Daphnia pulex: one gene and its partner. The main gene of each other region encodes a partner of the protein of the gene in region 2 in a complex. Links are inferred from orthologs where the notes say so. Each region holds a gene or a part of one and is shown on either strand. Other genes may lie near its edges.

Region 1 (3,978 bases), on a different chromosome or scaffold from region 2:
GGCATTCATTGCTTTAATAACACGACCGATGATAAATTCACCTAAGAATACAAAAAATGCGTTATTATTTAAAAATCTATGAATTAGTCAATCGATTTAACGCTTACCACAGCGACCGCAACAAGGAGCAAAGAGCATCTGAAAATCATGCTCACAATACTTGCGACCCTCAAACTCGTAAAAAATTCCTTCTGGAAAGGAGCGAAAGCATTGAGCGCACCTGTGAAAGATTAAGAAATTAGAATTCAATTTCAAGTAAAAATGTTGGTGTGAGTACTTACACAAAGCACTGGGGATGCCACAGCTCTCCATTTGTATTGACAATCTTTTCATGAGGCTCAAAACCATAATCACACCTCACACATTGGGTGTTCTTGTACATATCGCTTTAAAGTTCAAACCATTATTAGTTTCTTGAAATTCAGAATGTGTGAAATCTACTATACTAACTGTTAAACCACAATACCTATCAATATTACTAGGTTTAAGGTTTCTAGAAGGAAGTTTAGGAGGGCTGTTAGCATAAGTATTTTTTAAAATGTAAGTTTGAACTGAATTCAAGCTAGGTATCTGAGGAAGTGGTTGATTTTGAATTCCCTTCGGAACATCATTAGATGTAAGGTCTTCAAGCAAACCCTCAAGTTCATTTACTTCACTTGCACTTGCACTTGGTTTCATCTTATCCTCCATTCTTCTAAGGTAAAGGTTACTATTTTCAAAGGGTTTAAGAACAAGAATGTTAGGTCTTTTTGCCATGGTGAAAAATGGAGTTTCTTCAGTGAACACAACCGAAATGTCCAGCAATTTATGGGGTGAAGAACGGCAATTGATAACTAAATGTGTTATCTCATGTGTGGCCACTTCAAGAGCTTATTAATATCAGTAATAGTATTTATCTTATCAATAGCTTACCCAGGCGGCATTTGAAATGAACACAACGATAAAATAAACTCAATAACTATAAGAACTTCAACAGATTGTAGAGACCTGTGGACGAAATCGGGTGCTAACACCAACACAAACCGCGCCCGTTCAGAGATCAGCCCAAATAAGGAGATAATTTTGTGAAAAAAGTGAAAGGGACTAAAATGCGGGAAAAAAGCTAAGAGAAACGCAAAAATACTATGTGCTAAAATTGATAAAATTCCTTGTAAAAAAATTAACATTTGGTTCTCGCATTTTTTAAAATTTACCTTAATTCGGATTGAGCCCCGACGAATTTCGAAATCGTTGTTTTAGACATTTCCCTTCTTTTTCTTTATCATTTTACCGCATCTTCTAAATCCACGATTTACTGCATCCGGTCCGTATTATAATGTTTTGATTGACTTGTAGAGCCATCTGGTGGTCATTCAACGAACTCGATTAATTAATTGTTGTCTTTTCGATATCAGTATATAAAAAGCACACCATTACCTTTGTAAAATTAATTTTCTCTGCATTTGTGACGTTTTTCAATTATCGGAACTTCAACCCATTTTATTGTGACATCTGACATTAAACGCCGCCCTCTGTACACGCCCCTTCAAAACACGCCGCCAGGTGATGTAAGAAGCATAATTTTGATAGTAAACATGGCTTCAGAAGTAGTAGATTGCGAAATTATTGTTTCGAATTCGGTTAACAATTTTGATGCAGCTACTAGCTCCAGTCATGGAATTCTTGACAGCAGTGATCCATATGAAAGTCTAAATAATTTAAGCGGTACCAGAACAAATAGTGATTCCAATGATGTGAGCTTAAACATACAACCTCCTGCAGACCCCGGTTGTACTGATGGTTTTCAGAACGGTGATGTCGGATTATTAGAAATTGCCGTTGAAGCTCAACCTGATTTGATTTTTGAATCAGATCTTGTCTCCAATAACCAAGACCAACAATTTGTACGGCCCAGGGTCTACTTAGAACGAGAGTCTTTCAGCAATCAAAATGAGGATTCCATATCACGTACAACCAATGTGAGATTTACTGAGTAATAATCTCCCCTCAAGATTTGTTAAAAAGCATTAATGAATCAGGCTTCATCAATCTTGGAAGAAAATTCCCTGCCAGCTGCTGCTGGTGATGAAGAGAGTGGATCAGACTCCTTGCTGTGGAAAAATCAAAAGAAACATTTCTTTGTCTTGAGTGAAGCAGGAAAACCCATCTACACAAGGTTGGGTTTGAATTAGCTATTTGTCATTTTTTATAATTAATTGTTTTCCTTTTTAAATTACAGACATGGAAATGAGGAGCAGCTTGTTACCTTATTTGGAGTGATGCAGGCACTTGTTTCATTTGTGGAAGATGGGGAAGACTCCATGGATATGATTTTGGCTGGTGATACCAAATTTGTTTTTCTACACAAAACACCTCTTATTTTGGTAGCTGTTTCGAAATTACGAGATAGTGTACTTCAGTTACAGCTGCAATTAGAGTAATGCAATTATAAATTTTTTAGTTAGTTTCAAATCTAAATTGCTGCCTTTTTAGGTATATCTTCAATCAAATCTCTAGCGTTATTACTCGAGCACACCTTGAAAAAATCTTTGAGCAGAGGCGAAATTACGATCTTCGGAGGCTTTTAGGTATGCCTTGACTTCTTAGTAATCGAGTTAAAATCTTTCCTTTATATAATTATTTGTTTTTTTAGCTGGTTCCGAACGACTCATGGATAATTTGGTCAACTACATGGACACCGATTTTTCCGTTCTACTTGGTGCAGTCAAATGCCTACCGATGCCTTCTTGTGACCGAGATGCGGTCACGCAAACTATCCATCAACAATGTAGCAAAATTAAGGTGTCTTTACAGTTAGAATTCAAATGCTCACGTCTCGGGTGACTAAACATTTTCTTTCCGTTTTTACAGGGCTTAGTCTTCACTGTGTTGATTGGTAACAATCAGTTGATCAGTTTGGTGCGTGTTAACAAAAAGCACCTGCTTCATCCCTCTGATGTACATCTAATCATCAATCTAGTAAACTCATCCGAAACATTTAAAACGGCTGAAGGTTGGACCCCCATATGCCTTCCACATTACGATCCGAGGTCTGGCCCTTATCCATTACAAAACTGCAAAATCAGACATTTTTATTTGTTAATTTTTTATTTTCTCGAATTAGAGCGTTTTTGTACGTTCATGCGTCATACCTGAGTGAAGATTGTCAAGCGTGCCTGCTCTTTTTTACTACCGATCGTGATTCTTTTTTCAGTCTTTCCGATGCCAAAAAGAATATCGTCGATGTAAATTTTTTTTTTTTTTTTTTTTTTTTTTTTTCAGTTTCTTGGCTGCTTAATCTAATCGATATTTTGGTTCCTTTGTCCAGAGACTACGACGCCACAATAACATTCTCGAATCGATCACTCTGGCTTTACATTCGATCTGCCCTATCCTTAGTCAAGTGGGCTGTTCGGATATCCGACATTTTGTGTACAAGTCAAGATTGTCTGCTCAGTACACTTATTCTAATAATGGTCCGCCTTATCAACATGAACAAGGGCAGCTCTATTTAATGGATCTCTACCGACATGTTCACGGTCGCATGCATTCTCCATCACGCCCATTGAAAATGATGTGTCACACTGCTGAAAAAGAGATACTTTTTGGCTTGGTAAGTTGTTTCAAAATAAAATGGCTCACCTTTTTTAGATTTACTTACTAATAATATGATTTATCTTCAATATCTTATCAGGTTACTCCTACTTATGAACTATATATGGTCGTAGAGCCGATGACGACAAAAGCGGCAATAATGAACGCGGCCAATGCTATACTTAAGGTAATTGAATGGCTCCGATGTACTGAATCCACATTTATAGGTTGATTGTTATTATGTTCCCCTTTAGTGGAGTAAGCGTGAAGAAGAAATCCACTTCATCACTACTTCAGGAAGTTGGTAAAGTACCGAATGCAGCCTTCCTTTACATTCACCTTCGTTTTTCATGCATCATGATATATTTAGACTTCCAGATTTATCTGTTATGGTTGTGTTAATAT
Region 2 (4,037 bases):
AGAATGACCTTCTCTTTACATGTTAAGTATGAGCGAGAGAACAAAAGGAATAATTTGATTTAACGTACTTGTTTTGGAGTGCAATAGATTCTCCTTAAAACATACTAAAAATCCTTTTGCCATCGCCGCCGAGTCCCTCGCAACTATGGAACTCAAAATCTATATATATATATATATATGTATAATCACATGAAAGAATGAGACGTGAAAAATACAACTAGTCTTTGCTATCAGTTTCGTCCTATGGGCTCCGTCACGTGTTTTATTTTTTCCTTTGCTATCCCATTGATAGCGAATCGGTTAGACTAGTACTGCAATCACCATCGCCGAAAAGTAACTTAAAATGACCTATAAAAAGAAAAATAACTTTAAAAAAATACTTGTAGTACACTAAACTAATGATTTCGACTTACGGATATACACTTCGCAGTGTTCTCCTTTCAAAAATGCTAAACTTCCACGAACGCGCCGGTTGCGTTGTTGAAAGTACTGGTAGACACCATAAAAAACGGAGGGATCCTGAGAGTTTTGAGCCGCTTCGAGAAATTTGCGAGCTGATATGCTTTCAACCGGAATTGTATCCCGAGCGAACCTGTTGCAGATGAATGTTCATTAATGGACTTGAGGGCAAAACAACTCTTTATGTGGCTGCCAAAAGTACCTTAATGCCGACAGGACTTTGTTCTTGGACAGCAGGATTTCTACAATTTCTTCATTGGCATTTGAAATCCGCTTAAGCATGTCGACTGCGAGCTGATACGCCGCTGGATATACACTTTCTAACGAAAGCAGGAGGCACGCCTGAAGTGAAACGTATATAATAAGCGTATTTCCGCGGTTATATTATGACAGTCAATTTTGCGTATTTATACCAAAGGTTTCGAATCAGCTACTGCGTGGTACTGGAAGAGCTGGTGAAGCTGGTAGAACTGTCCCAAACGTGCAAAAGCTTCGATGAGTACTTCATAAATAAAGTGCTGTACTGGAATGTGATATTGGACGAGGGATCGAATGTACTCGTTGACGACAGCCACAATAAAACGGTCATGCGTCTCATCCATTGGCTTGCTTTCCGTCATGGGTGACAAGATACGAGAGTAGACATCAGTCTGGTCAATAACCACATTGGGTCGTCGTGAAGAAGATCCGGTACTCAACTGAAACGCACCAGCTGGCATGGCGATCTGACTCTGAATCTCAATGTCCAAATGGTTACGGTATGCTTCGTTGAGTTTATCGAATACTCGGCCAAGGACAGGCACATCGGCTCCCACTGAATGAGAATAGCACATTAATCGACTCAAGAGTGCCATCACAGTCGATTTGGATTCCGTTCTCTGCAGGAGGAAGTCAAACAATTCACAAGGATTGTCAACCATATCAATCAAAGGAGTTAGGACTAGTTCCAGACTCCAAAGGCATCCTAATAGAGCGTCGATAATGATGTTGGATTGAAAAAATACCTGTTTTTAATAAAGCAAACGAATAAACATTAAACGTACATATATTTACAGCACAAATGAATTTACCCAGTTTGGAGAATATAGCTCACAACTCATCTGAGAAGGTTCGTGGTTCAGCATAGCGGCTGAAGCGGGGATGTTGAGGAAGTATGGGCGAATAGTAACGGATGCTAGGAACGGATGCAACGTCATCACTCGACCGTCTGATTCACCCGTCAAGTTTATGTCAAAAATGGATGACGTCTTAGAGGCTTGATGGTGGACAATAATCAAGTTGTCCAAGATGCTTACAGCTAGTTTGCCACTGGTTTCCAATTGAAGTACGTGAGTTTTCCGGGGAGGGGCGTCTTTGCACAAAGTGTAAACGACAATTTCCGAATTTCCTGATGCTGGGGTCTCTCGTCCGACCGTAGAATTTGGTTTAATTGGATGCTTAAGGACGAGTACTACCATTTGATTGTAAAGCATGGTTGGTGTGACGTCTCTCTCGACTAGGCAAAGACGTGCAGGTTGTGGAGGATTTGGAATGTCGACTTCAAATTTGGTAAGACGTAGAAGCTGATGGTTTTTGAAGAGATAGGGCTGAAGACTAGTACCAAGTGGGCCAGATGATACCAATAAAAGTCCAGACAGGGGACAATATACAAACCAGTTGCTTTGAATACTGTGGTTTTTCACAGCTCTCAGGCATCTTTTTTCAGGCACAACTTGATAGTGCTCTATTCCCTGATTAGTTATCAGAATAAAGTCTGTGTTTGAAACCCAAACAAATCCAACAATAACAGTTGAACTTCCTCTACAGGGTTGAGAGTATTCTACACCATCAGGCACTTGATTTGAAAAATTTTGAAATTCAACTGATTTTGAAGTTCTCTGAATTGCTAAGATCTGTTGATCAGGTGAGAATTTAATAGAAAGTACTGCTCCTTTATCTTCAACTCGGAAATTTATAGGATTTTTCATCCTTGGGCCTTTGACGTTTACTCCTGTTGCTCCCCCGGATCGAACTGTGAAGACCTGGCGAGTCACTTCATCGTAGAAAACATTTGTGATTTTTGTAACAGGTTCAAAGTGAATTGCAGTTTGACTTAATTGGAGTAAAAAACTCGCTTCGGTAGTTTCGATTGTGGTGCGAGACATTTTTCTTCTTTCACTTTCTGATATACCTCGTGGATTTGAAGAAAATGTTTGAACAAATAACTGGGCCTTAAATATCACAACATATAAAATCCGGCTATCGAATGATTAACTTTTTCTACTGCGAATTCATCTACAATTTCTCCCCACCAACTTTCGATTTCACGATAAAAATCACAACACGATTATGTCGTCTGCTAGGCTATTATGAAGTCAGTCCCCCCTCGTTGTGCAAGTTTGCATAATTTCATTTATCTTTAAAAAATAATATAATTTAAATAATAATTATTAAATTAATTTAAAAATAAATGTGTGTAGCTCATAATTGATAGCTATACAAAACAAATCTCACATTCAATATTATTCATTATTTTTAAATATTTGTAAACAAAGCGCCAATACTTGATTTCGAGCGTCTGCCAGCCTTCACAGTTTTGGCAAAATTTTTACAAAAACAATGTTCTTAAAAAAAGACAAGACCCTTCCAGGTTCGCCCTCGGGTATTAACGGGCAAGATATCAGTTAAAAGCTTTTGCTTATATTTTCAAAAATTAAAATGTAGGAATTTCGTAAGATTTTGTTTATTGTAATTTCCTGGATTTTTTTTCTGTATCATTTACGAAATAAAATAATAAACAATGTAAATTCTTGAGTTAAACTCAGACAGTGGTCCAATTTCTCCATCACAAGGGCTGAGGTAAAAAGGCAACAGTTCAGGGTACAACATCGAGGCAACAGTTCAGGTTACAAGATCGAAGCCATATTTTAGGAAAAAAGTTTGAGGCAAGGCAACAATTCAGGGAAACAGATGGAGGCAACAATTCGCGAAAAGATGGAGGCAATTAGCTGCAGTCGATGTTTAAGGACGTCAAGTAATTAAGATCTTCAGACAGTCAGTAAAAAAGGATTTGTTTACTGATTGTCTTTAAGCCACTCCCTCAGCTCCCTTTCATCAGGTATATCCGGGTTGATCTAAAGAGAATACACAAGAAAAAAAAATCCCGATGAAAAAAACTGCTGGAGAAATATTATTGAGTTTAAACTTACCATGATTACCGAATCATCGAAGGAGTCTAGGAATATTTCTCCACTATCGCGTGCGAATGCAGAAACCTTAACACCTCCAAATGCAACAATGGCGTTATCCAGGCTACTGAGCTGAAATAGCTTTAGCTTTGCGACTGAGTGCAGTACCCACGGCTGAAAAGTTCTTGTCCCTGCGAAAATAAATAACTTTAAAACTGTCGGAATCAAAATTTGTCTGATTCAAAATTTCACCTCAAATCAGCGTAAAGCTCTTCGGCCGAGTTTAGAACAACAGATTTAACAGAGCTACCATCAGAGCGAGGTGACTGGCCCGCATGTGATGAGGCTTGAAAATTTTCTCCTGGAAGCTTGACTGTATCTAAATAACAATGAAACCACAAAATGCAAGTA

What was found.
Region 1: the proteins of regulator of MON1-CCZ1 complex-like (region 2) and protein SAND-like are in contact, whole or in part, in a cryo-EM structure (PDB 8JBE), measured with the Drosophila melanogaster proteins. The link is inferred for Daphnia pulex from reciprocal best matches to the Drosophila melanogaster genes Bulli and Mon1. Residues at the interface, in NP_648047.2 of Drosophila melanogaster: Ile561, Arg565, Lys568, Asp590, Leu592, His595, Ser596, Arg599, Phe600, Met603, Phe631, Pro632; in NP_608868.1 of Drosophila melanogaster: Pro416, Glu417, Arg419, His438, Pro439, Glu445, Arg448, Met473, Lys474, Glu475, Arg476, Glu494, Pro495, Val496.

The regions. Positions count from the first base shown.
Region 1 is NC_060026.1:14,676,657-14,680,634, forward strand, and holds the start of protein SAND-like, read left to right. Parts: upstream 1-1,167; 5' UTR 1,168-1,193; coding exon of another isoform or gene 1,194-1,243; 5' UTR 1,244-1,303; exon of another isoform or gene 1,304-1,325; intron 1,326-1,380; exon of another isoform or gene 1,381-1,394; 5' UTR 1,395-1,574; coding exon 1,575-1,958; intron 1,959-2,018; coding exon 2,019-2,155; intron 2,156-2,218; coding exon 2,219-2,416; intron 2,417-2,472; coding exon 2,473-2,567; intron 2,568-2,632; coding exon 2,633-2,781; intron 2,782-2,850; coding exon 2,851-3,029; intron 3,030-3,103; coding exon 3,104-3,224; intron 3,225-3,307; coding exon 3,308-3,592; intron 3,593-3,673; coding exon 3,674-3,760; intron 3,761-3,827; coding exon 3,828-3,881; 3' UTR 3,882-3,978. Other genes in the region: LIM and senescent cell antigen-like-containing domain protein 1, read right to left, coding at 1-41, 108-220, 282-386, 467-756. UniProt on the Drosophila melanogaster protein: Part of the Mon1-Ccz1 guanyl-nucleotide exchange factor complex specific for Rab7 that promotes the exchange of GDP to GTP, converting Rab7 from an inactive GDP-bound form into an active GTP-bound form.
Region 2 is NC_060018.1:4,527,486-4,531,522, forward strand, and holds regulator of MON1-CCZ1 complex-like, read right to left. Parts: upstream 2,811-4,037; 5' UTR 2,604-2,810; coding exon 1,530-2,603; intron 1,464-1,529; coding exon 873-1,463; intron 802-872; coding exon 662-801; intron 593-661; coding exon 414-592; intron 349-413; coding exon 278-348; 3' UTR 163-277; downstream 1-162. UniProt on the Drosophila melanogaster protein: Positive regulator of the Rab7 guanyl-nucleotide exchange activity of the Mon1-Ccz1 complex, possibly by enhancing its endosomal membrane association.